Linked DNA regions of Oryctolagus cuniculus. The protein of the gene in region 1 interacts with the protein of each later gene in a pairwise test. Links are inferred from orthologs where the notes say so. Each region holds a gene or a part of one and is shown on either strand. Other genes may lie near its edges. The genes, in order: RIGI and MAVS.

Region 1 (12,066 bases):
TCCTTTGTTCCTTCACTTTTGTCTAGTTTTGGTATCAACTAATACTGACCTTATAAAATTAGTTTGGAAGAATTCCTCTCTTCTACATTTTGGAGTAATTTAAGAAAAATTGATATTAGTCCTTTTTAAGATATTTGGTAGAGTCCAGCAGTGAAGTCACCTGGACCTGGGCTTTTTATTTATTTTCTTGGTAGGAGATCGTTAGTTACTGTTTCAATCTCCTTACTCATTGTTGGTCTTATTTGGTGTTTATTTCTTTGTGGTTCCATCTGGAAAAGGTGTACGTGTCCAGGTATTTGTCCATTTCTTTCAGTTTATAAAATGTATTGCTGTATAATTGTAATAATTAATAACAATCCTTTGTATTCCTGTGGTGTCAATTGTAACATCTCCCTTTTCATCTTTAATTTTTAGTCGTTTCTTCTCCTTTCGTTAGCCTTAGCTAAGGTTTGTCCATTTTATTTATCTTTTTAAAGACCCAGCTCTTCATTTCATTATTTTTGGAACTCTATTTCATTTACTTCTGTTCTGATTTTTATTAGTTCTTATATTTTTTTATTTATTTTTGTTTTTCTAATTCCTTAAGGTACAGCAGTAAGTTTGAAATCATTCTGCTTTTATTTTTTTTAAGTGGGCATTGATTACCATAAACTTTCCTCTGTGTACTGCTTTTGCCATACCTCATAACTTTTGGTATGTTTCTGTTCCTGTTTTCATTCATGCCATGAAAGTTTTAAATTTCTTTTTCGATTTTTTTCTTTGATTTATTGGTTATTCAGTAAGATGTTTAATTTCCACATATTTATGTATTTTCCAACATTTTATTTGTTACTGATTTCCATTTTTGTTGCATTGTGGTCAGAAGAGATACTCAATAGGATTTCTGTCTAATGTGTTGAGACTGGCTTTGTGACCTAGTATATGATCTGCCCTGGAGACTGTGTGTGTGCTGGTAAGAAAAGTGTATTTTGCAGGTATTGGATGGAATATTCTTTTTTTTTTTTAGATTTTTATTTATTTATTTTAACAGGTAGAGTTACAAACAGTGAGAGAGAGACAGAGACAAAGGTCTTCCTTCCGTTGGTTCACTCCCCAAATGGCTGCTACAGCCGGCGCTGCGCCAATCCAAAGGCAGGAGCCAGGTGCCTCTTCCTGGTCTGCCACTCGGGTGCAGGGGCCCAAACACCTGGGCCATCCTTCACTGCCTTCCCAGGCCACAGCAGAGAGCTGGACTGGAAAACGAGCAACCAGGACTAGAACCCGGTGCCCATATGGGATGCTGGCGCCACAGGCGGAGGATTAGCCAAGTGAGCCATGGCGCTGGCCCCTGGATGGAATATTCTATAAATGTCTGTTTGGTCAGATTGGTCTGTAGTAAAATTAACTGCTGTTTCTTTGATTTTTTTGTTTGTGTGATCTGTATACTTCAATATATTGAAGTTCCCTACCATTATTATATTAGAAAATATCTCTGCCATTAGATCTGTATTGGGATGCAAATATATCTGATTTTTATCCTGGATGGATTAGACCCCTTATTGTATAATGGCCTTCTTGTCTCCTTTTGTTGCTTTTGATTTAAGTTCTGTTTTATCTGATATAAATATGGCTACTTTTTTTGTGTTCCATTTGCATGGAATATCTTAGTCTTTAATTTTCATTCTATGAGTGTCCTTTTAGATGAACTGAGTTTTCTTTAAGCAGTACATAGTTGGATCTTGTTTTATGCATTTGGTCACTCTTTTAATTGAGTTTAAAATTCATCTATATTTAAGATAATTATTGATAGGTAAGGTCTTACTACTGCCATTTTGATACTTTTTTAGTTTTATTATAGTGACTTTTTTTCTCCTTCTCTTTTAATCTTCCTCTGTGTTGACCTAAATTTCTCTAGTAGAGTGTTTGATTCTTTCCTTTCTTTGAGTTTTATCACTATATATTCAAATATGATTGCTCTGATAATTTCATTGTGTTTTGTTTATTAAATTTAGCCCATAAAACTTGCTATTCCTCCTTTTCAGGTTATTCTGGGCTTTATGAAGCCATTGCAAATTGGAATTTCCAAAAAATTGAAAAGTTGGAGGAATACAGAGCACTTTTGAAACGTTTACAACCAGCATTTAAAGACAGAATTGATCCAACATGTATCCTTCCTGAAATGTCTGACTGTATAATTAGTCAGGAATATGAAGAAATTATGCAGGTAAGTCAAATAAAATACTAACTTTAGGGGAAAGTAGTTGGAACATGGGGATGTCTTGTGTTGTCTCTACTGTTTTAGAACTGAAAACGATAATTGAAACACACATAAGTCCTTCTATAAGAGGCATAGTTACCTAGGAAGGTACTTGTAATGTGAACTGATTTTTATGTAACAATTTTTTCAAGTTTGCTCTATTTTCACTTAAAATTACTTTTTTCTGAATAATTCATGCAAATTTAAATACAGTCGACCAGTTCAGCAAAGAAAAATAATAAGAGAAAAGCTGGGGCCAGCACTGTGGCGTAGTGGGTAAAGCCGCTGCCTGCGGCACCAGTATCCCATATGGGTGCTGGTTTGAGTCCCAGCTGCTCCTCTTCTGATCCAACTCTCTGCTGTAGCCTGGGAAAGCAGTAGAAGGTGGCCCAAGTGCTTGGGCTTCTACACCTGCGTGGGAGACCCAGAAGAAGCTCCTGGCTTTGGATCAGCACAGCTCTGGCTGTTGTGGCTATTTGGGAAGTGAGCCAACATTTGGCAGGCGTTTCTCTCTGTCTCTCCCTCTGTCTGTGGCTCTGCCTCTTAAATAAATAAAAAAATGATTTTTTAAAAAAAGATTGTAGACTAGCAGTTAAGAATTTGTGCTATAGACGCATTAAATTTTTTGTACCTAGAAACCTTTTATTTAAGCTTTAGAAACTTGATGCATTTTATATATACAAATTTGGAAACAAAGTGATTCTTCCTACCCTATCCTCCCTCCCACCTGCATTCACAAGCTTTCTTCCTCCTCCCTCTCCTATTCCCTTTCTTATTTTTTACTAAGATCTGTTTTTTTTTTATTTGACAGGTAGAGTTATAGACAGAGAGAGAGACAGAGAGGAAGGTCTTTCTTCCATTGGTTCATCCCCCAAATGGCTGCTATGGCGGCGCTCCGCCGTTCCGAAGCCAGGAGCCAAGTGCTTCTTCCTGGTCTCCCATGCGGGTGCAGGGCTCAGGCACTTGGGCCATCCTCCAGTGCCCTCCTGGGTCACAGCAGAGAGCTGGACTGGAAGAGGAACAGCTGGGACTAGCACCTGGCGTCCATATGGGATGCCAGTGCCACAGGCAGAGGATTAACCAAGTGAACCACGTTGCTGGCCCCAAGATCTGTTTTCAATTAACTTTATACACATAAGATTAACTGTACACTAAGTAAAGAATTCAGTAAACAGTATGGGAAAAAAAAAAAAAAAACTGTTCCTCAACAGCTGGGACAAAGGCTGTTCAGTCATTGCATCTCAAGGTCTCAATTTCACTTCTGTAGATTACTTTTTAGGTACTCTGTTAGTTACCATGGATCAAGGAGAACATATGGTATTTGTCTTTTGGGGACTGGCTTATCATAATGTTTTCTAGTTCCATCCATTTTGTTGCGAATAACAGGATTTCATTTTTTTACTGCTGTATAGTACTCCAACATAGATAAATTTTGTTAGAATCTTGGCTCAACCATTTCCTAGTGTGTGATACTGAATAAGTTACTTAGCTTCTCTAAGCATCTGTTTTGTCATGCATAAAACGAGAATAATAACAGTACCTTAATATAACATTTTATAAGGGTTAAATAAGATAATATATGTAAAGTGCTTATACATGCTTGGCATATGATAATAAGTCCACAATACATTTTACTTCTTATGAATAGTGAAGCCACATAAATCCCTCTATCCTGAAAAGTCACATATTAATATTATGTTACGTTGTTCCACGTTTCACTCTGTGCCAATATCCTGAAAGTGTGAATGACTTGCAAATGGAATATTTTCCTAGTCTTACTTATAATGATAGGTATAAGAACTCAGGGGAGATGCGAAAGCTTCTCTTGACATAGTGACACCGATGTGTAAAGGACAAGGATAGGGCCTGCACTGTGTCATGGAAAGTTCAATTGTCACCATATGGGCACTGGTTTGAGTCCCAGCTGCTCCACTTCCAATCCAGCTCCCTCCATGTGCACCTGGGAAAGCAGCAGAGGCTGGCCCAAGTCTTTGGGCTCCTGCCACCCATATGGGAGACCTGGAAGATGTTACTGACTCCTGGCCCAGCCCTGACTATTGTTGCTATTTGGAGAGTGAACCAGTAGATGGGAGATCTCTCTCTCTCCTCTTCTCTTTTTCTGTATCTTTGCCTTTGAAATAAATAAATAATTTTTAAAAGGATAAGGATGAAGGAAAGAGTTTTAAAAGACTGTTGGATGGGAGAAAAATGGTTATGAACTATAATGTATGGTGATTTAAAATCATATAGCACTTGAAATTGACATTTTCTCATTGAAAACTCATACAAGGAAAACTTTTGAAATAATTGACAAATACACTGCTTTTCCTTTGTTTAGGTTTGCTCCAATAAGGGGATAATGGCAGGTGCAGAGAAAATGGCTGAATGCCTTCTCAGATCAGACAAGGAAAACTGGCCCAAAACTTTAAAACTTGCTTTGGATAATGATAACAACTCATTCAGTGAACTTTGGATGGTAGAGGAAGGTAGGTTATTCCAAGGAAGAGCTCTCCAATGGAGAGCAGTGTGCTCCTCCTGGTTGTACTTAGCGCTTCCCTTGTTCCTGCCTGTGTTCGCTTGCCAGCAAAGGCAGACTCCCCTTCAGATACCCAGGGCTGTGTCGCTACTGAGAGACCAGCATAAAGTCGAGTTCTAGGAGGAAGGTAGCTACTTGCATGCAGAATTCGTTTGGTTGTATATAACCTCTAAAACTGTATCAGGAAAAGATGCCCTCATCCTACATTTACCCATCTTGCCCAAAAAAATTTGGGGAAGGCCAAGTCTGAGCTCTCATCCTGGTTTAGATGATCTGAGATATAGCTTGAGAATTCTAGAATTACAGGTTCCAGTTCTCTAAGGCTTACCCCCTTTCCAAAGTAGAGTCATTGCCCAGTTCTCTTGTTGGGCACCACCTAAAACTGAACCAGAGCGGGAATAAAAGGAGAAAATTTGTGATGATTTGGGCTGTCATTTGACTTTTTGAAGCCAACATGTCCAAGCTTTGTTTTAAAGGATGGCTTTGGCATCATCCACATGTTCATCTTAGCGTTGCTTAGGCTTCTTTAGATTATAGGTTGTTTCCAAAAGTGTCTAAAATACATGTCTGATTCTTGGGTCCAGGGTCAGGTGTCTGCTAAATCACGCTGCTTTTCTCATGTAGACATAGTGTGTGTAGGACTCTTTTGAGTATTGTTAAAATTCATATTCTGATTCCACGGGATCTCAAGGTTCCATTTCTAACAAATTCCCAAAGTTGCTGATCCCGACTCCATACCTTAAATAATAAAGTCCTAAATGACTTTGAAGTTCAGACTCCAAACTGAGATAAAATGATTCTTTTAAGAAGTGAAGGGGAGTGTTTGTTAGAAATATTAGTGAAAGTTTAGCATTAGTGCTATAACTTCTTTTGTGACAGTTTCACCATCAGAACTATATTCAGATTATGTTAAGGTTCTGGAATGTTTTTTGATCTCACAAAGATGCCAAAGATGTTGAAGCTGAAGATCTTGAGGAGGACGACATGGGAACTTCCAGCATACATATTGTCTACCAGGAAGATCCACAGTTGGAGAATCTCAGTCAGAATTCATGTACACCTGCAGGTACTGCTATTATTTGTGCTTTTTCGTGATGGTGCTCTACAGGCATTTTGTGTGGGGACTTGCTTGGCAGTGCCAAAAGTCATAGCCTTATGAAAAAAGTTTGTAAAGAAAACTAAGGAAGACAAGAGAATTATGTCAAAAGAGATATTTTTCTATAATTAGAATTGCCACTCTTTCCATAGCTGCTAAGTGGACTTTAGAAATCTTTTATCACTAAAAGTATGTGTGTGTCTGTATTAGAAATGCAGTGTCCCTCCAGAAAATGAGTGTCTATGAAATTTATTATCTTTTTATTTATTTATTTTTTTTGATAGGCAGAGTGGACAGTGAGAGAGACAGAGAGAAAGGTCTTCCTTTTGCCATTGGTTCACCCTGCAATGGCCGCCATGGCCGGCGCATCGCGCTGATCAGGAGCCAGGTGCTTCTCCTGGTCTCCCATGCGGGTGCAGGGCCCAAGGACTTGGGCCGTCCTCCACTGCACTCCCTAGCCACAGCAGAGAGCTGGCCTGGAAGAGGGGCAACCGGGACAGAATCTGGCGCCACGACCGGGACTAGAACCTGCGGTGCCAGCGCCGCAGGTGGAGGATTAGCCTATTGAACTGCAGCGCTGGCCAATGTCTATGAAATTTAAAATCAGCTTTCCTCTCTAAAGAAATACCTCTACTGATTGTGAGCCACTCACTTAATTTCCTTTATTAATATCCCAGGGCTGCCATTCAAGTGTGTGAGGTTGGTGTGTTGCACACATGTGCTTGGCTTAGAGGTTGAGTGAGGGCTGAGATGCAGCCCGTGTTGTTTGCCAAAGGGTTATGTTCTCCAAAGAACTCCATTTCCCATTCACACTGAGGCTCTTGTGTGACGTCATTGTGGTCCGCTAAGGCCCCCGATGTGTCTGGAAGCATATTTTCATGACTGTTTCATTAGGGAACTAGGGATTTGCATAACATACCATATAAAATTTATTTATAAAAGGATATCAAGTAGGAAATTATGCTGAATGAAGAATACTCTTTGGGGAAAATGTGATTTTAGGATAACTCTTAAAGAAAATTGACAGATTACTTCTGCAAGTGAGTAATGCAAGTTTTGGGGGAGGAGAATCATTGCAGAATAAAATCAATGACTATAAGTTGCTTTAAATATCCCTGACATGTAAAGATCCTTATATGTCTTGTAAGTGAGGTTACCTCACTTTACCTTTTAAGAAGTTTTCCCTTTCTTAAAAATGGGTGGACTTGCTAGGTATTTCCAGTATTTTTTTCTAGTTCTTAATATGTTATATACTAACATGTTTTTGAGATTAAGTCCTTGGTTAGAGAAGCTGAATTGGTTACAAAGAGACAAGATTCTAAACTTTCTCTAACGAACCCTTCTTTCTACAGTCAGAATCATGTCTACTGGATTTTAGCTATTGCTGTGATTCCTCAGAGAGGTAACTGGAAATTTTGTTCCTTTTGTATTATAGAAGTATCTCGCGCTAAATTATGCAGCCAACTGAAACCAAGAAATTACCAGCTAGAGCTTGCTCTGCCTGCTATGAAGGGAAAAAACACAATAATATGTGCTCCTACTGGTAAGCCAATTGCTATTACTTACATAGTTTGTTTCTCTGTTGCTTTTTTCTTTTTTTCTTTTTTTTTTTTTGTTGAATACTGTGACATAATGGGCAATTTTCAGATTGTTCCTGTTCCATTTGTCTTTTGACAAAACTATCCTATTTAGACAGTCTCAACGAAAGGGAAGAAATGCCCTCTTTTAGTTTTTGTCCTGACTGTTTTGAGTGCATGTTACCTGCGAAGTAGCTTAATGTTTCTTTTTCTGGTCATAATTTCTAGTCAGTTCAATGATGTTAGAGGAGCCAAAAATGCAGAATTCTCTAGTATAATATTAGTTACATGTTTTCCTTTTCCTTGTATGTTAAAAGGTTGTGGAAAAACCTTTGTTTCACTTCTTATATGTGAACATCATCTTAAAACATTTCCACAAGGACAAAAAGGGAAGGTGGTGTTTTTTGCTAATCACGTCCCTGTGTATGAACAGCAGAAATCTGTGTTCTCAGAGTATTTTGAAAGACTTGGGTAGGTACAACAATCAGTCCAATGTCATGTTTCTCTAGCTTCATGCAATGAATTGTTTTCTGTTTTGTTTTTTAAAAGCCATGCTTACATTGTTTTATAATATTCAGCTTTTATATAAACTAGATGTTAATTCCTGCATGTAATTGAGTCTTTTCTTGTTATACATACTAGAAATTCTAAAGCCTCCTAGTTTTTATGGTTTGAGTAAACGATTTAACAGATAATGAACTCGCTTTAATAGGGATGAGGGTACCTTAACTGCTAGACTGAGTACCTATCCTAAATTTGACATTTAAATATCACATTTATCTTCTTTAATGATTTTATAATTTATTTGGTAATAGTCTTTGATCTACTCTCTCTGCTTTTAGTTACTTGAAAGAATGAATATATACTATGTTAACTACCTTGCATTTATTGATTATTTACCGTGTCAGGCTATGTGCTAAGGACTTGTCTCTAAATATATTCCTTTTGGATTTAAGATCGTCAGTTGTGGCTTCTCATCCACATTATGCTTGGTTAATAGGGGTTTCTGTCACTTCCCAGGTACAGTGTGGCAGGCATTGCTGGAGCAACAGTTGAGAATGTCCCCGTGCAACAAATCGTGGAGAACAATGACATCATTGTTTTAACGCCACAGATCCTTGTGAACAATCTTAAAGACGGAACTATTCCATCACTCTCTGTCTTCACTTTGATGATATTTGATGAATGTCACAATACTTGTAAACAACACCCATACAATAAGATCATGTTCTATTATCTGGATCAGAAACTTGGAGGATCTTCTGACCCACTGCCTCAGGTATGTCCACAGTCAGGAGAACTCCTTGGGAGAGGTATAATCTCCCTGAATTCCATTTACTTACACCTGTCACCACAGTGAGGATGTCCTTCTCAGGTCCTAAGTCATTATACAACTCATTGATCAATTTTGGTCCATTCATTTATTCAGTTAAGATATTAGCTGGGGGGCCGGCACTGTGGTGTAGTGGGTAAAGTCGCCACCTGCAGTGCAGGCATCCCATATGGGTGCTGGTTCGAGACCCGGCTGCTCCGCTTCTGATCCAGCTCTCTGCTTATGGCCTGGGAAAGAAGTAGAACATGGCCCAAGAGCTTGGTCCCCTGTACTCATGTGGGAGACCTAGAAGAAGCTCCTGGCTTTGGATTGGCCCAGCTCTGATGTTGCAGCCATTTGGGGAGTGATCCAGTGAATGGAAGACCTCTCTCTCTCCCTGTCTCCTCTACCCCTCTCTTTCCCTCCCTCCCTCTCTCCCTCCATCTCTCCCTCCCTCTCTCCCTCCCTCTCTCCCTCCTTCTCCCTCCCTCTCTCCCTCCCTCTCTCCCTCCTTCTCTATCCCTCTTTCTCTCTCCCTCTTTCTCTCTCCCTCCTCCTCTCTCCCTCCTCCTCTCTCCCTCCTCCTCTCTCTCTCTCTATCTCTCTCTCTCTGCCCCTCTCTAGCTCTACCTTTAAAATAAATAAATCTTTAAAAAAAAAAAAATATATATATATATATATATATATATATATATATATATATATATAGTGGGACCTCACTATCCAAGGAAGATGGTTCCAGGACCCTCTACACAGGTATAAAATCTATACATGCTCAAGACACCTTTACAAAATGGTAATACTCATCCACATTGTGCTTGGTTAATAGGGGTTTCTGTCACTTCCCAGGTACAGTGTGGCAGGCATATAATCCATGTACATCCTCCCATTTACTTTAAATAATTTCTGGACTACTGATTACACAATGCAAATGTTATTTTTTTAAAGATTTTTTTTTTTATTTTATTTATTCCACAAGTAGAGTTACAGTGAGAGGGAGAGACAGAGAGAAAGGTTTTCCTTCCATTGGTTCACCTCCCCAAAATGGCCGCTATAGCTGGCGCGCTGCGCCGATCTGAAGCCAGGAGCCAGGTGCTTCTTCCTGGTCTCCCATGCGGGTACAGGGCCCAAGCACTTGGGTCATCCTCCACTGCCCTCCCGGGCCACAGCAGAGAACTAGACTGGAAGAGGAGCAACCGGGACTAGAACCCAGGGCCCATATGTGATTCCTGCACTGCAGGTGAAGGATTAGCCAAGTGATCCACAGTGCTGGTCCCAGAATGCAAAGGTTATACTAGTAGTTGCTGTACTGTATTGTTTAGGGAGTAATGACAAGGGGAAGGTTTGTACATGTTCAGTACATGTACAGCTTTGTTTTTAACATTTTCAAGTTGTGGTTGGTTGAATCCATAGATACAGAACCTGTGGGTACAGAGGACTGATCATGTATATTGTATACCTCCATGTGCCTTGCACTGTGCCAGGCACTGGGGATACTAGTATAAAAAGACATAGCTTTGCCCTCAGACAGCGTGAATTTCATAGGGAGCTGGGCAAGGATGAATTATATCATAGGCCTGCTGTAGAGGCAGGACAAGAGCATGGTCAGAACCTAAGTGAAAGCACGCCTATGTGTGCAATGAAAGTAAGGCAACATCTAACAGAAGTTAGCTTGGGCCAAAGTTAACATGAGTTTTCCAGGTGGATAGCTGGATGGTTTGCAGTAAGAGGCTGCTGCTTGTCTAGAGGCACAGAAGTACCAAAGAGTGTGGTGTGCTCTGCAGTCTTGAAACTCTTCAGGATTACTAGAGGGTAGATTGTGAGGTAGGGAGTAGCAAGGCTGAATGGGAGAAGGGAATGACTGATAGAGCAACATGCCTGGAGACACCAGATGGTATAGGAGATGCAGGCAAGTAGATGAGTGTAATTAGACTTGGGGAGGAGCACCATCTTTAGCATCCTCAGGGAAGAAGAGGCAAGAAGAGTCAATTAAGATAGGTGCTCTTTGATGGGCGCAGGAAGGGATGGGGAATCTCTGGTGTGTAAATCCTCCCTTTTCTTGAACATGGGAGATGTAGATGAATTGCTGAAAATTCTCAATATTGGAAAGGGGTGGGAAGCTTGGGAAGGGTGGAGAGGAAGAACCGAGACGAATACATTGAAGATTTGTTGGTCATATTGAGGGCCCAGGTGAAGTTGGAAATCATGAATTTATGGCATATCAATCTACACATTTGTGTACAGTTCTGCAGCTCCAATAAGCATCAATTTAGGAAGCATAGGTTAGAAGAAATTCTGTAAGATACCTGCAGATCCAAAAAAAAAAAAAAAAGGCAATCATGTGTATTAGTCTTTTCTTCTGGAATAAAATTGGTGTAAACTAGATTACTTGCTGGTGGGTCAATTATTCAACGATTACTGAGTAGTTATTGGTGAAAGAAATGAATATTTATTAGGTGGCCATTATGCTAAATCTTTACAAATGCTATCATCCCAAGTCCAGGCACCTGCCATTTTAAACAGTGATTGTTTCCCAGCTTTATGGAGAGATGAAGATATTTGTCCGACACACAGCATAATATGGCTGAGGTTGTGACACGGCTGAGACACACGGGAAATGTGTCTGCTCTTCTTTCTTTTTCAGCGCGGTGTTCTCCATGTTGTGAAGGATGCAAGAGTTGAGAACTAAGCAGCCCTGTTCTGGATGGGCTTTCTCTCTCCGCTTCTCTGCTAATTTGTGTTTAGCTGATGAATTGTGACTCTTGTACTTAGTACTTTGATTTTCCATTTGCAATATCACTGAGAAAGTCAGGGAAAAACAACAGTATGCTTCTATCTGAAGTTAGTGAAAAAGAAAGCAAAACAGAAACCCTAATCCCAGCAGGACAGAATTCCTCAAGAGGCTGTGGACACAGCACTATTTCTCAGACATTGAATACCTTGGAATGTTTCTTATAGGTCGTTGGGATGACTGCCTCTGTTGGTGTTGGGGATGCCAAAAACACAGATGAAGCCGTGGAATATATCTGCAAACTCTGTGCTTCTCTTGATGCATCAGTAATAGCAACGGTCAAAGAGAATCTGGAAGAACTGCAAGAAATTGTTTATACGCCCCAGAAAAGTAAGTGAGATCCAGTAACAAGGCCTTCATTCTCTGCTACCCCTGATCCTGAGCCAGTTAGAGGAAGACTGAACTTTGACTTTCTCTCTGTTTAACAGAAAACATTTGACCCAAAGTTGGGAAATTGTGCCATGTTCAGTATCTCTCCTTAACTGAACTCTCTTCTCAGGCAACGGGTCAGTGTCAGA
Region 2 (12,066 bases), on another chromosome or scaffold:
TGCTGGCTCCCATAACATGCGTTTCTGTGAGGTTTTTTAATTAATTAATTTATTTATTTATTTTGCCAGGCGGAGTGGACAGTGAGAGAGAGAGACAGAGAGAAAGGTCTTCCTTTGCCGTTGGTTCACCCTCCAATGGCCGACGCGGCTGGCGCGCTGCGGCTGGCGCACCGCGCTGATCCGATGGCAGGAGCCAGGTACTTATCCTGGTCTCCCATGGGGTGCAGGGCCCAAGCACTTGGGCCATCCTCCACTGCACTCCCTGGCCACAGCAGAGAGCTGGCCTGGAAGAGGGGCAACTGGGACAGAATCCGGCGCCTCGACCGGAACTAGAACTCGGTGTGCCGGCGCCGCAAGGCGGAGGATTAGCCTAGTGAGCCGCGGCGCCGGCGGTTTTTTAATTTATTTTGAGAGGCACACACATACACAGCTCCCATTTGCTGGTTCACCCACCAAATGCCCACAACAGCTAGGGCTGATCTAGGACAAAGCTAGAAGTTAGACTTGCAGCCCAAGTCGTGCATGCTATGGTGGGAGTCCGATTACTCGAGCCATCACCTGCTGCCTCCCAGGGTGTGTGCCAGCAGGGAGCTGGAGTCAGGAGTGGAGCTGGCACTGCAGGCACTCAGGCGCAGGTGTTAACTGCGAGGCAAACACGGGCCCTCCGTGTCCGTCTTAAGACTCCTTGTACTTCAGGCCTGGGCAGCCTCGGAGACCCCAGTCAGGTTTCCAGCTCCGGGATGCCCCACACTGGCTTTTCTTTCTCCGTCCCTGCCTCCTTCCTTGTGAGTTTCTTCATTGGTGGAGATTTGCAGTGATTCCCTGAGCATGGACAGCTGCTGCAGGGCCAGGGATGGGCGGGGCAGGGGTCTGTGAGTGGTAGCAGCCCCCCCAACTTCGCCTCCCCCCTTGCTACCTATCTTTGGCCTCTCCAGCTCCCCTCTGCCTGCTACTCCTGCCTCCCCCCAGTGGCCTCCCAGAACTGCACCCTACATTGGGACAGCCTTGAACTATGGAGGGGGTTGGGGGCCCAAGAGCTGCCAGGTGTCTCCATTACAGGGAGCCCCCCATTCCTTCCTGATATCACTGTATTTTTGTCCTCCAGGGGCTGCATCCCACCCGGGAGCCCCTCGCGGGGCACCACAGGAGGCGCCATCACTTCCTGCCGAGGTTCCTGGGGCCTCTGCACCTGCTGCAAACCCCAGCATCCCCCACGCTGGCCACAGAGAGGAGCCAAGTTACCCCTTGCCTGTCCAGGACACCCAGCCTCCCAAGTCCCTGGGAGAGGTGCGTCCTCACCGCCCGCCTACCTGCTTTTGTGTTCCTGTCTGCCCGCTTCTACCCTCTCAGGCCCTTACAAGAAGGGGGGCTGCCTCAGACCCACCTCAGGCGGCTGGCCAGGCCTTCAGCGTGTTGCTGCCCACAGCCCTCTGCCTCCAGCTGGCTTGGAGGCCACCGCTCAGAGGGCTCCGCGGTGGCCAGTATGAGATGCGGAGCTGGGGGAGGAAGCTGGGGCTTGACCAGCTGATGGGGAGGGTGGGACGAGGGAGCAGACAGCGAGCTGCAGTGATTGCCAGGAAGATCAAGTCCAGGGGAGAGAAGACTGTGTCTACTGAGAGGTCAGGAGTGGGCAGCGGGCACCCAGGAGACCTGGAGGCTAAGAAGGGGTCTGTGCGTGGCTGCAGAGAGGGGGACCCATCCCCGGGGCCACAGGTGGACAGGGACTGCCCTTGGGTTGATGCGTGTCTTCTGTGAGGTCAAGGCAAGGTTGCCCATGGACACGGGGTCCGGCTGCGTCTCCTTGGCTCCCGGGCTCTGTGCGGTGGCTGAGCCCTTCGGTAGCGGGGGTCCCCGGAGCGTGAGGCGCTCTCTGCCAGCTCTCAGGGGACGCAGCTGCTGATTTTCCCTCTTTCAGGGTTCAGAGCAAACGCCACACACACCCAGCTCTGGGGTCCTCCTGAGGACACCCAGCGTTCCCCTGGAGCCCTCCTCCTCTGACCCAGCAGCCCTCGGCCCTCCAAGCCCCAGCAGGCCTCAGGAGCAGGACACAGACTTGGCCAGCATCCACACAGCAGGTATGCATGGAATGTGGCGTTACAAGGTCTCACTGGCCTCCCCGAGAGGGTGAGAGGGTCAGCGTCAGGGTCAGAATGACTCCTCTGTCCTCCTGGACCAGAGACAAAGTGGGAATAAAGGGAGCAGAGGCTCCTTAGCCAGTGGATGGGGACGTGGTCACTGGCTAGGATGTGGTCGCTGGCTGGGGGCATGGTCACTGGCTGGGCAGATGTTGCAGTACATTGCTGCCCAGGTGGGGGAAGAGAATTAGGTCCATTTCTGCCCCCTGTCAAAGGGTGGGATGGCCAGGGCTGGGCCGACTGTTGGCAGCAGAGCTCACTTGGACACTGCCCTACCCCGTAAGTGTTGTCAGTTCCCAGCAAATCATCAGCTGGGGCCTGGCCCCACGCCAGACCTCAGTGCTGCCCCTCAGGAACGTGGAGCCGTCCGCCGCGACCTCCCAGGCCCACACCTCTCCACTGCCTCCCAGAGTGTGTTCCACGGGATGCTGGTGCCTGGCCAGCTCTCAGGGCCCCTGGGAGGCACCGAGCAGCTAAAGGCTGGGAGATGCCAGCTTAGTGCCCCCTCCTGCAGCTACCCCCAACCTGTTCACAGCACCTGCCTTGCACTTTGCCATGTCAGCTTTCCCGGGATGCCTTTCAGGAGGTGCCGTGGGGTCTGGGGTGGAGGTGGAAATGCACTTGGGTTTTAGGACATTTGTGGTCATGTGTCCCCAGAGAGTCTGTGCCACTGTTGTTGGGAGGAAGGCCCAGTGGAGTCACCCCAGGGAGACGTTTGTCCTGACAGGACATCTGTGTCCCACATCCGGGTACCTGGGTTAGAGTCCTGGTTCCAGATTCCGACGCCAGCTTCCTGTGCGTGCGGATCCTGGGAGGCAGCTCTGATGGCTCAAGTAACTGGGTTCCTGCACCCACATGGGAAACCTAAGTGGAGTTCTTAGGTCTGGCTTTGGCCTGGCCTAGCCAGCCTCAGCCATAGTGGGCACTTGGGGAGTGAACCAGAGGATGCGAGGTCTCTGTCTACCTTTCAAGTAAATAAAAATTAAAAAACAGAAGAATCACCCGATTGTCAGCCCTGGGGCCTGGCATGTGTGTTCCCGGCATCCCACGGAGGATCCTGATAAAACTGCGCTTCCTCTTGGGGCACTTTGTCCCTGCCCCCACATCTTCTGGCCCCTGGGGGCTGGTAGCTTCTGGTGCCACTTCAGCCTGAGCCGTCCTGCTCTCCCTGGCCTGATGCAGGATCGTCCCACTGGGATGTGCCCTGGGGGCGGGGGGACATCAGTGCTAGGGGCGTCCCAGGTCCCACCTGGCTAGGGAGAAGGTGGGAAAAGCAGGTGCAGGTGAGAGGGGGTGTCCTGGGCGGGAGAAGAATTCACGATAACCTTGCGGCTCCTGGGTCTTGCCAGGAGGAAGGACAGTTAATGCCTGTGACAGGGCAGACCTGGGGCTACAGGTCAAGGGCAGGGCAGCTGTTGGGACTCAGGCCAGTGGCTGCAACCATAAGGCCTGCAGCTGCAGAAGGCATGCTGAGCTCGGGCAGGGGGCCCTTTTGCAGCCCTTGGGATAACAGTTCCTTGGGTTTGTGTTTCCACTTTTGCTTTGCCACCTGCAGGCTCCGGCTCCAGCCCCGCGCCACCCTGCGGACCTGTGTCTCCGTCCGTCTCCTTCCAGCCTCTGGCCCGTTCCACTCCCAGGGCGAGCCGCTTGCCCGGACCCGCCACGTCAGTTTCATCCGCTGGCACCTCCTCACCCCCTGGCTTGGCTGCTGGACAGGGTGCTGGTGTCCAGGCAAAGGCCACCGTATGCTCCAGCGACACAGTGCCCACCAGCTCTGTGCCCCCCAGTGCAGCATCCTCCAGGGTGCCCAGCAACGCAATGTCTGGGGACACAGTAGCCCCCACAGCGCCTGCCAGCTCCGCATTCACCAGCACGGTGCCCTCCAAGTTGCCCACCAGCGCAAAGCCCCCCAGTGCAACGTCCTCCAACGTGCTTCCCAGTGTAGCACCATCCAAACTGCCCATCAGCTCAACAGGTGCTGGCACGGTGTCACCCAAAGTGCCTGCCAGCACGGCGCCCACCAAAACACCTGCCAGCACGGCGCCCACCAAAACACCTGCCGGCATGGCGCCCACCGTCAAGAGCAGCACCAGGGCTGCGGTGAGTCTCACCCCACCTCGCAGTGATGTGGGACCCCTGCCCCAGCAGAGCTGGCCCTCCTGGCACCCTTCCCAGTCTGTCTGTGCAGTCTGTGGCCTCACCCAGACCCGAGGAGGAATAACAGTCAGGGGAGCTCCTGAGTGTGGCTGCCTCGGGCGGGGGCTCAGGCATGCTGGGTCACCTGCTGTGTTCATGTGCGTTCATTCTTTTAGGGCTCTCAGCCCCAGGTAAGCTCAGTAAGGCCCTTTCTTTCTTTCCTTTCTCTCTTAAAAGACTTATTTATTGATTTATTTGAAAGTCAGTTACAGAGAGAAAGAGAGAAAGGTCTTCCATCCGCTGGTGCACCCCTCAGATGGCCTCAGTGGCCAGAGCTGCACCAGGCCAAAGCCAGGAGCCAGGAGCTTCTTCTGGGTCTCCCACATGGTTGGCAGGGGCCCAAGCACTTGGGTCATCGTCTGCTGCTTTCCCAGGTGCATTAACGGGGAGCTGGGTTGGAAGTACAGTAGCTGGGACTCAAACCAGCACCCATATGGGATGCTGGCAGTGTAGGCACCAGCTTTACCTGCTACGCCACAGCACCAGCCCCTAGCAAGGCCATTGCACAGATGAGGAACCTGTGAGGGGCAGGGTGTGGGAGGCCCCACCAGGGAGTCCAGCCTATCACTGCATGACCAAGGCCTTATTTGCGGTCATCCTAGCCTATCCAGTCTGGAGCAGCTTCTGTGACACAGCAACCCCCCTTAGCTGCCCCCTGCAAGCCCTCACTGCTGCTGTCCCCTTGGGGGAATCAATCCACGGGACCCTTGGACACATGGCCAGGCCACACACGCTGTGGCTGCTCTGTGGTCTTCAGGCCCAGGCAGAAATGTTAATGGAGGGTGGGCCCACATCCCACCGTGGGTTCCTGGAGCAGGGGTGAGCTCACTGCAGACCCGGGAGGGCTCCCCCACTGCCCTGCACCACCGTGGATTAGATCCCCTCTGGCCCGGGAGTTGAGAGGTTAGGCTGCTGGTTAATGCCCTCACCCAGCAGGGGGCGCCCCACCCAGCTTCTCTTCCTGTCTCCCCGGTTCCTTGAATGCTCTCCTTTCTTTCCCAGGGGACCCCGGTGGCTCCAGCACCCAGAGGTGCCACAGGAGGCAGTGAGCCCTGGCCAGACGGCAGCTCTGGCAGCTTGCACTCTGGGCCGGAGGTGAGCAAGCCAGGTGTGCTGGCCTCCCGGCTGGACAGCCAGCCTTTCTCGGGCTGCTCCGCGGATCTCGCCATCAGCCCCAGCAACTCGCTGCTCCCCGAGCCCGGCCACGGCCCAGAGGAGAACGAGTACGTGTCGGTGGGCACTTTTGGGCTCCACGTGGTAGAATGTCCCAGCGCTGACCTGGAAAGCAAACCTGGGCTGAGCGCCACCCAACAGCCTCCACAGCCCACGGACGAGACTGTGCAATGGGTCTGGGCAGAGCCCTGGGCTTTGTGGTTTGGGGCAGCCGTGGCCAGCGCACTCATGGCCACACTGCTGGCTGTGCTGTACCGGCGGCGCCTGCTTCACTGATGGCCCCAGGACCACCTGCTGCACACCTGCTCAGCCCTCACCGCATGCTGCCTGCCCTTCATCCCTTCCTCAGGGCTGCAGGGCTGGGCCAAGGGGAGCTGCGGGGCTGCAGGCCTGGCAGGAGATGTGGAAACAGCATTTCCGTCCCGGATCGTGCCTTCTCTGGGTCCCTCTTCATCCTTGGCTTCTCTGGATACTCCTCTGGCCCCCCTGCTCCAGACCCGCTCACCTGCATCCCGGTTGTCACCCCATGTGCTGGGGAGGGGTGCCTCCTGCCAGGCTCATTTGCCCAAATGTGCAGATCAGGAGGTGCAGCTGGACAGCTCCTGGGGTTGGCAGTGCCCCTCGCCCTGTCCTGGTGCCCGAAGACCTGAGGGCAGGGGTGCTGCGTCGAGGGGCCTCATAAGACCTCCTGTCCCCAGTGGCCCAGCCCAGAAGCCACTGTGAGTCCTGCCCCAGCCACTTCACCCCCTTCTGGTCTCCATTCTCAGCTCCCTTCTGGGGTCAGGGAGGGGCCGCCTGGTGAGCAGAGCTCAGCTCAAGGCCTGGGCCTCAGATGCAGCCCTCCCTGGGCTGGGTGGCCTTGGCAGATGGTCCGACTCTGGTCTCACGTGGACAGCGTGAGAACCTGGCTCATGCTTTCCTGGGATTTTCTGAAGCAAAGCAGACAGGGGTTGGCCCAGAGCCAGTGACCACTGAGTGCTCCCCCCGCTCTCCTGCTCAGCTTGGTAGAGCTGAGGGCATGAAAGGCAGAGTGTGCAACGGGCCGGGGTGCAGCTCTGTAGGGCGGGCAGCCAGGCCTGCAGCTGCCCTGCCTCTCATGAGCTCCGTGACCCCGAGTGAGCTATCAGCCTCTCTGTGCCTTCATTCCCATCTGTAAAATGGGGGTTAGCACACACATATGTATTTATAGACTCCTCGTGTGTAGTGAGGATGAGATGAGTTGCTCTAAGTTGGACACCTGTTATGACCACTGCTAAGTCTGGAGGGACTGCAGCTCCTGGCCGCGCCTTTGGGGACAGAGCCAGGTCTCCCGCTTTGGCCTCCTTCCTCCTCGATTGCCTGTGCACCGGGGGACTGGGGGGCGGGAGGTGTGTCTACCTGGCCAGCCGTGCAGGATGGGGACTGGGGTGTTCTCCCGCAGGGGCCAGGTGGGTATCTGTGGTCCCAGCCTGAAGCCTGCCCACCCACTGGTGGGAAGATTGGCTATGTTTATACTAGAAATGCATTGGGGTGCATGGGTTCTCTGCAGGTGGCCGTCACTGGACAAGGGGCAGGCACAGGAGCTACCTGTGTTCCTGAGCTCTGCAGGGGACAAGAGCCAGTGTCTGCAGAGATATCGGGGTTGGGGGTCACTGTCGCTCACGGCCAGCCTGGCAGCCCGCGGGGTTTGGTGCCCTGCCCAGGCCGCCAGTTTCGCCTGCAGGGTCCTAAAGACTTCTTCCTCTGAGCTGCTGTTCAGCTCATGCTCCAGGCCCAGCAGCCTGAGCTGTGAAACCAGGGAGACCCCTTCTCTAGCGGCCTGCATTCCTGTGCATCACCCCCGCCTGCCCTCGCCCAGCCCTCCCTGCTCCCCTGTTGGGTAGGGCAGTGAGCAGTTCACGCAGACGCCAGTTTTAATCTGAAAAAGTAGGCGGCTGGAAGGTATCACTCAGCCCCGAGGACTGTGGCCAGAGGGCAGGGCCGGCAGTCAGGCGCCACGGGAAGTGCCTCCGGCAAGTGCATAGCCAGCGGAGGGACTCCCGGCGCTCTCGCCTTGTGCTTCCAGAAGCCTGGCGTGGCCTGTCTTGAGCCCTGTCCTCGTGTCAGCTATTGTCAGCCTGAAGTCCTCTCCATGGCCACTTGAAGCAGGAGCAGAAACTGGCCCGTGAATTGGCACGGTCAGATCACAGTAGTCTTGCCTTTGGATGCAGCTTTCAGCTGCATGCTGGAGACAGAGCTGGGTCCCCCTCCCAGCCTGGGTGTCAGAGGAAGCCAGAACCTAAGACAGGAAGGGTGGGCGTCCTCGCGTGGGCCGGGGGGGGGGGGGGGAGTCAGCTGGCTGCCACGCTTGGGAGAGCACACACCTCACCTTGAGGAGGTGGTGCGCTGGGGCTGGCGGTCCCAGTGCCCCCTACGTGCCTGGGGATAGACCCTCCTTGGGTACCCTGGTCTCAGCCCCTGGGTACCTTCTTTCCTGGGCTGGGCTGCTGGGCCGGAGCAGTCACTGCTTCTGTCTCCTTAGGAGGTACCCCCGAGGCAGGGCGGTGTCCTGTTCCTTTGGAAAATGCTGTTGACTGTGGACTGCTCCCCTACACGTGTGCACAGCACCCCACCCCCCACCCTGCGTGCCCGGCTGGGCTTCAGGGGCGCTCCCTGCCGTCTCGTTCGCCCATGAGCTGCCCTATTTTCTCTACAGTTTCTTTATAGAAGTAAGTTGAAGGACAAAGCGTTGAACAAGCCACAGGGGCTGGGAGGATTTTGCGCCCAGGGCCCTCCGTGTTCTGCACCAGTGCCATGTGACAATGAGGCACCCGTCACTTGGTTTCTTGGCCTCTGTGGCTGACATCCCTCCCCTTGGACTGGCTCCAAGTGCAAGCAGCACTGGACTGGGTCTTAGGGGGAGGGGCCGCAGGAGGCTCCTCCACTGCTCAGCTCCTGGGCAGTGCTCAGCCGTTGCTCCGATCCCAGAGGGGACGATATGACAGCTGTGTCTCCTTGCACCGGAGCCTTCCGAGGCCCTGACAGAGCCCTCGCAGCAGGTGGGAATTCCCGTGCTGGGCAAGATTCAAACCCTGCAGCGTGTTCTGTCTGTGGTCTCTTAGGAATGGAGGCCTTGAGGCCCCGCACTTCATGCACGTCCTGTCATGAAGGTAATGGCCAAGAATAAACACCGCCCCCTCCCCACCAGGGGTGGGAGGTCCAGGCTCCGTGGGCTGTGTGGGAACTGGTACCTGTCGGTGGGCAGCAGGCACGTGCTCCCCTGTGCTCCATTTTCTGTCCTTTCCCTCTTGCACAAGGCCATGAGGTCCACTCGTGCCGGGCAGGGTCAGGCTGAGCCCTCCTCGCTATGCCACTGCTGCTGTCCCTAATAGCAGTAACCAGGAGCGCCACCCCCACCCCGTCTTCTGTGCATCAGGCACTGTGCTCACCCCTTACGTGTGCTAACTCATTTAATCCCCATTTCATGTCTTCGTGGGCCCAATTTACAGCTGGTTTGCAAGGCTGGGTGGGGGAAGGGCCGGGGGGGGCGGGCGGGAAGCGAAGGAGAGCCCTGGAGCTGGGTGTTAGTCGTGTGCGCAAATCACATCTGATTAGGTACTGGAGCCAGGGACCCCATTTAAAGTGAGATTTTCCACATCACCACATCCCTGCCCGGGATGCCAAGATCTGCCACCTGCTTTACTAGAATAATTGCACTCAACACATAATTAATAGAGTCTCAGGGATGTTGCAACAATATGATCACAGTTGTGTGTGTGCCCAGGCTCAGTGGCCTGAGGCTGGGTGAGGTGGGACAGGGGCATAAGCCCAGAATGACAGGGAAGCCAGATTGGTTCAGCAGCCATTGCTCGTTAAAGGCATCCCATGTGCCAGGTCCAAGGCCAAAGATGAGGATGACATGGTGGGGGCCTTCAGGTGGCTGGGGACATGGGCAATGTGTGATGCTGACCACTAGACTTTCATGTCAGTTATTCTGTACGCACTGTGTGCAAAGCGTCGGGATAGGCCTTGGTGACTGAGTAATATAAAGGGGGCTTTGAAAGTTCATGGAAAATGGAGTTAAAAGGTATGTTTATTTTGGTGCAGAAAAATTTGAAATCCATGCATATGGAGGATCTGCTAACAGTTCATGGAAAATGCCTGTTATGGGAAAAAATTCATAGATTCCAAAATTTTCTGCACCAAAGTAAACTTATACTTTTTAATTCTTTTTTCCTGTGAACTTTCTGAAATCCCCTAAATCAAAGTCCCGCTGCCTCTGATATAATTAGAGTGGTCTGGTGAGTGTTCCCGGAGCACGGAGTGGGGGAGGGAGAGTTTGGGAGGGGGCAGATGATGTTTCAATCAGTTAAGTGCTATTAATTGCTACGATATTAATTATTGTAATTAAATCCAGGGGAGAAATACCACTTAGAACCTGTCGTGGGTAAGTCCGACAAGATCAAACGTTAACAGAAATATACGGCAAATGAGACTCGGAGGTTTCCGGAGGAGTGTAAGTTGGTGCTGTGGTCTGACAGTGTCCCCTGACAGCAGCCAGCCAAGGTGATGGCCTTGGAGGCGGGGCTGTGGGGAGGCGGGCAGGCCATGAGTGAGACCCTCGTGAAGGTGATCGGTGGCCTGACAGGAGGCGCCACGGAGTGCCCCCTGCCCTTGCACTGTGCGAGGGTGCGGTGGGAAGGGGCGTGTCTGCACAGAGCTAGCCCTCACTGCACACCAGGTCTGCTGGCACCTTGATCTTGGATTTCCCAGCCTCAGAACTGTGAGAAATAAATGTCTGTCGTGTGTGCCTTGCACAGTCTAGGGTATTTTGTCCGTGCGGCCCTAGCGAACCAGGACGGTCGGTGTATCCCCGTTGGGAAACCAGCAGTGCCTCCTGAGCTGAGCATCCGGATAAGCTGTGAGCCGGCAGGGTGGGTGTGCACACAACGGAAGCAAGAGCCTGTGTCCAGCAAGACTCCTGCAGGCCTGCTTCTGACCCCCCTACTGCTTACCACAGCCGTGGACGGGAAACAACCCAAACCTTCATCTACAATAGAGGGGGTATTTGAGGGCTGGGCCAGTCACATGGCACAATGCTAGTATATAGCAATGAATATGAGTGGAAATCTTACACGTGGTATTGAACAACATAAAAAAATCAATATACACAAAAGATTCTGGGGGCGGGCATTTGGCCCAGCACTTCCCCCTGGGACTCCTGTGTCCTATATTGGAGTGCCTGGTTTGAGTCTTGGCTGTGCTGCTTCCAATCTAGCTTCCTGCTTAACTGCCTGGGAAGTGAATAGATGATGGCCCAAGTACTTGGGCTCCTGCCACCCATGTGGGAGACCAGGATGGAGTTCTGGCTCCTGGTTTTGGCCTGGCCCAGCCTTGGCTGTTGTGGCCATTCAGGGAGTGGACCAGCAGATGGAAGATCTCTGTATCCTTCCTTCTCTCTGTCACTTTACTTTCCAAATAAATCTTTAAAAACAAAATAAAATAAAATGGAGAGTCAGCATTGTGGCATAGCCGGTAAAGCTGCTGCCTGTGATGTGGGCATCCCATATGGGCACCAGTTGATTTCCTGGCTGCTCCACTTCCGATCCATCTCCTTGGTGGATGGCCTGGGAAAGCAGTGGAGGATGGCACCCTTGCACCCACGTGGGACATCTGGAAGAAGCTCTTGGCTCCTGGCTTAGGCCTGGCCCAGCGCTGGTCATTGCAACCATCTGGGGAGTGAATCAGCAGATGGAAGACCTCTCTGTGTCTCCCTCTCTCTCTGTAATTCTGCCTTTCAAATAAATACATAAATTTTAAAAAAAAGTGACAAATCCTTAGAAGTGTGATTCTCTTCATATAAAACTACAGAAAAAAAGCAAACTGGTTTTGCTGTTAGAAATCAGGAGAAAGGTCAACTTGGGGAGCACTGGAGCTGGGCAGGGGCCTTCTGGGGGTGCTGGTACCCCTGGCTGCGGTGCTGACTGTGTGTGCACAGTGTCTGCCCAGACTCCCTGTTGGAGATGAGGAAATAAATGAAGACTACTCAAGTGAGAACAGAGAGCCCATTCCATCCAAGCCTCAAGCACTCAAAAGCAGGCGCTGGGAAACTTTATGGAGACGAAAAAGGGAGGCTTCAGGTGTGCTGGGATGGGGGGGGTCGTCATGGAGACGCCAGAGGCGGGCCAAGTGGAAGAACGGCAGCTGACTTTGGCTGGGGAGCTTGTTCGGCTTGCCTGGTGGTCCGGATTTGGGAGCTGGGGAATGGTCGCAAGTCGGTCTACCTGATTGGGGCTGAGGACTGCATGGTTTGGTTTGGATTCCCAGCCTGGGTCCTGCCAAGGCTTTGGGTCAGTTCTGTTGTCATGTCTGGTCCGGCTGTTATCCAACTGCTTTCTCAGTCTCGGAGAGGAGGGTGTGGGCTCTGGGAGGGGCCGCCACCCCTGGAATGGAGGGGGCACATCCACACTTCGAGCAGGTCCCCACCCCTCCTGGGGGTCCGTGGTGTTTACTGTCAGGGTGAGCCTGCTCCAAGTCATTGCTTTGTGACCTTGCCCATTGCCACAATTTGAATGTGGCCTGTCTCTGCCAGCACTCATTGGAA

Evidence for each region.
Region 2: the proteins of RIGI (region 1) and MAVS interact in binary tests that used the Homo sapiens proteins (3 or more experiments, as listed by UniProt). The link is inferred for Oryctolagus cuniculus from reciprocal best matches to the Homo sapiens genes RIGI and MAVS.

Annotation. Positions count from the first base shown.
Region 1 is NC_091432.1:195,871,597-195,883,662, reverse strand, and holds part of RIGI (antiviral innate immune response receptor RIG-I), read left to right. Parts: intron 1-2,021; coding exon 2,022-2,203; intron 2,204-4,574; coding exon 4,575-4,722; intron 4,723-5,715; coding exon 5,716-5,838; intron 5,839-7,303; coding exon 7,304-7,411; intron 7,412-7,762; coding exon 7,763-7,916; intron 7,917-8,465; coding exon 8,466-8,724; intron 8,725-11,715; coding exon 11,716-11,878; intron 11,879-12,066.
Region 2 is NC_091442.1:29,184,823-29,196,888, forward strand, and holds the end of MAVS (mitochondrial antiviral-signaling protein), read left to right. Parts: intron 1-1,105; coding exon 1,106-1,287; intron 1,288-1,915; coding exon 1,916-2,075; intron 2,076-3,690; coding exon 3,691-4,235; intron 4,236-5,333; coding exon 5,334-5,780; 3' UTR 5,781-10,279; downstream 10,280-12,066.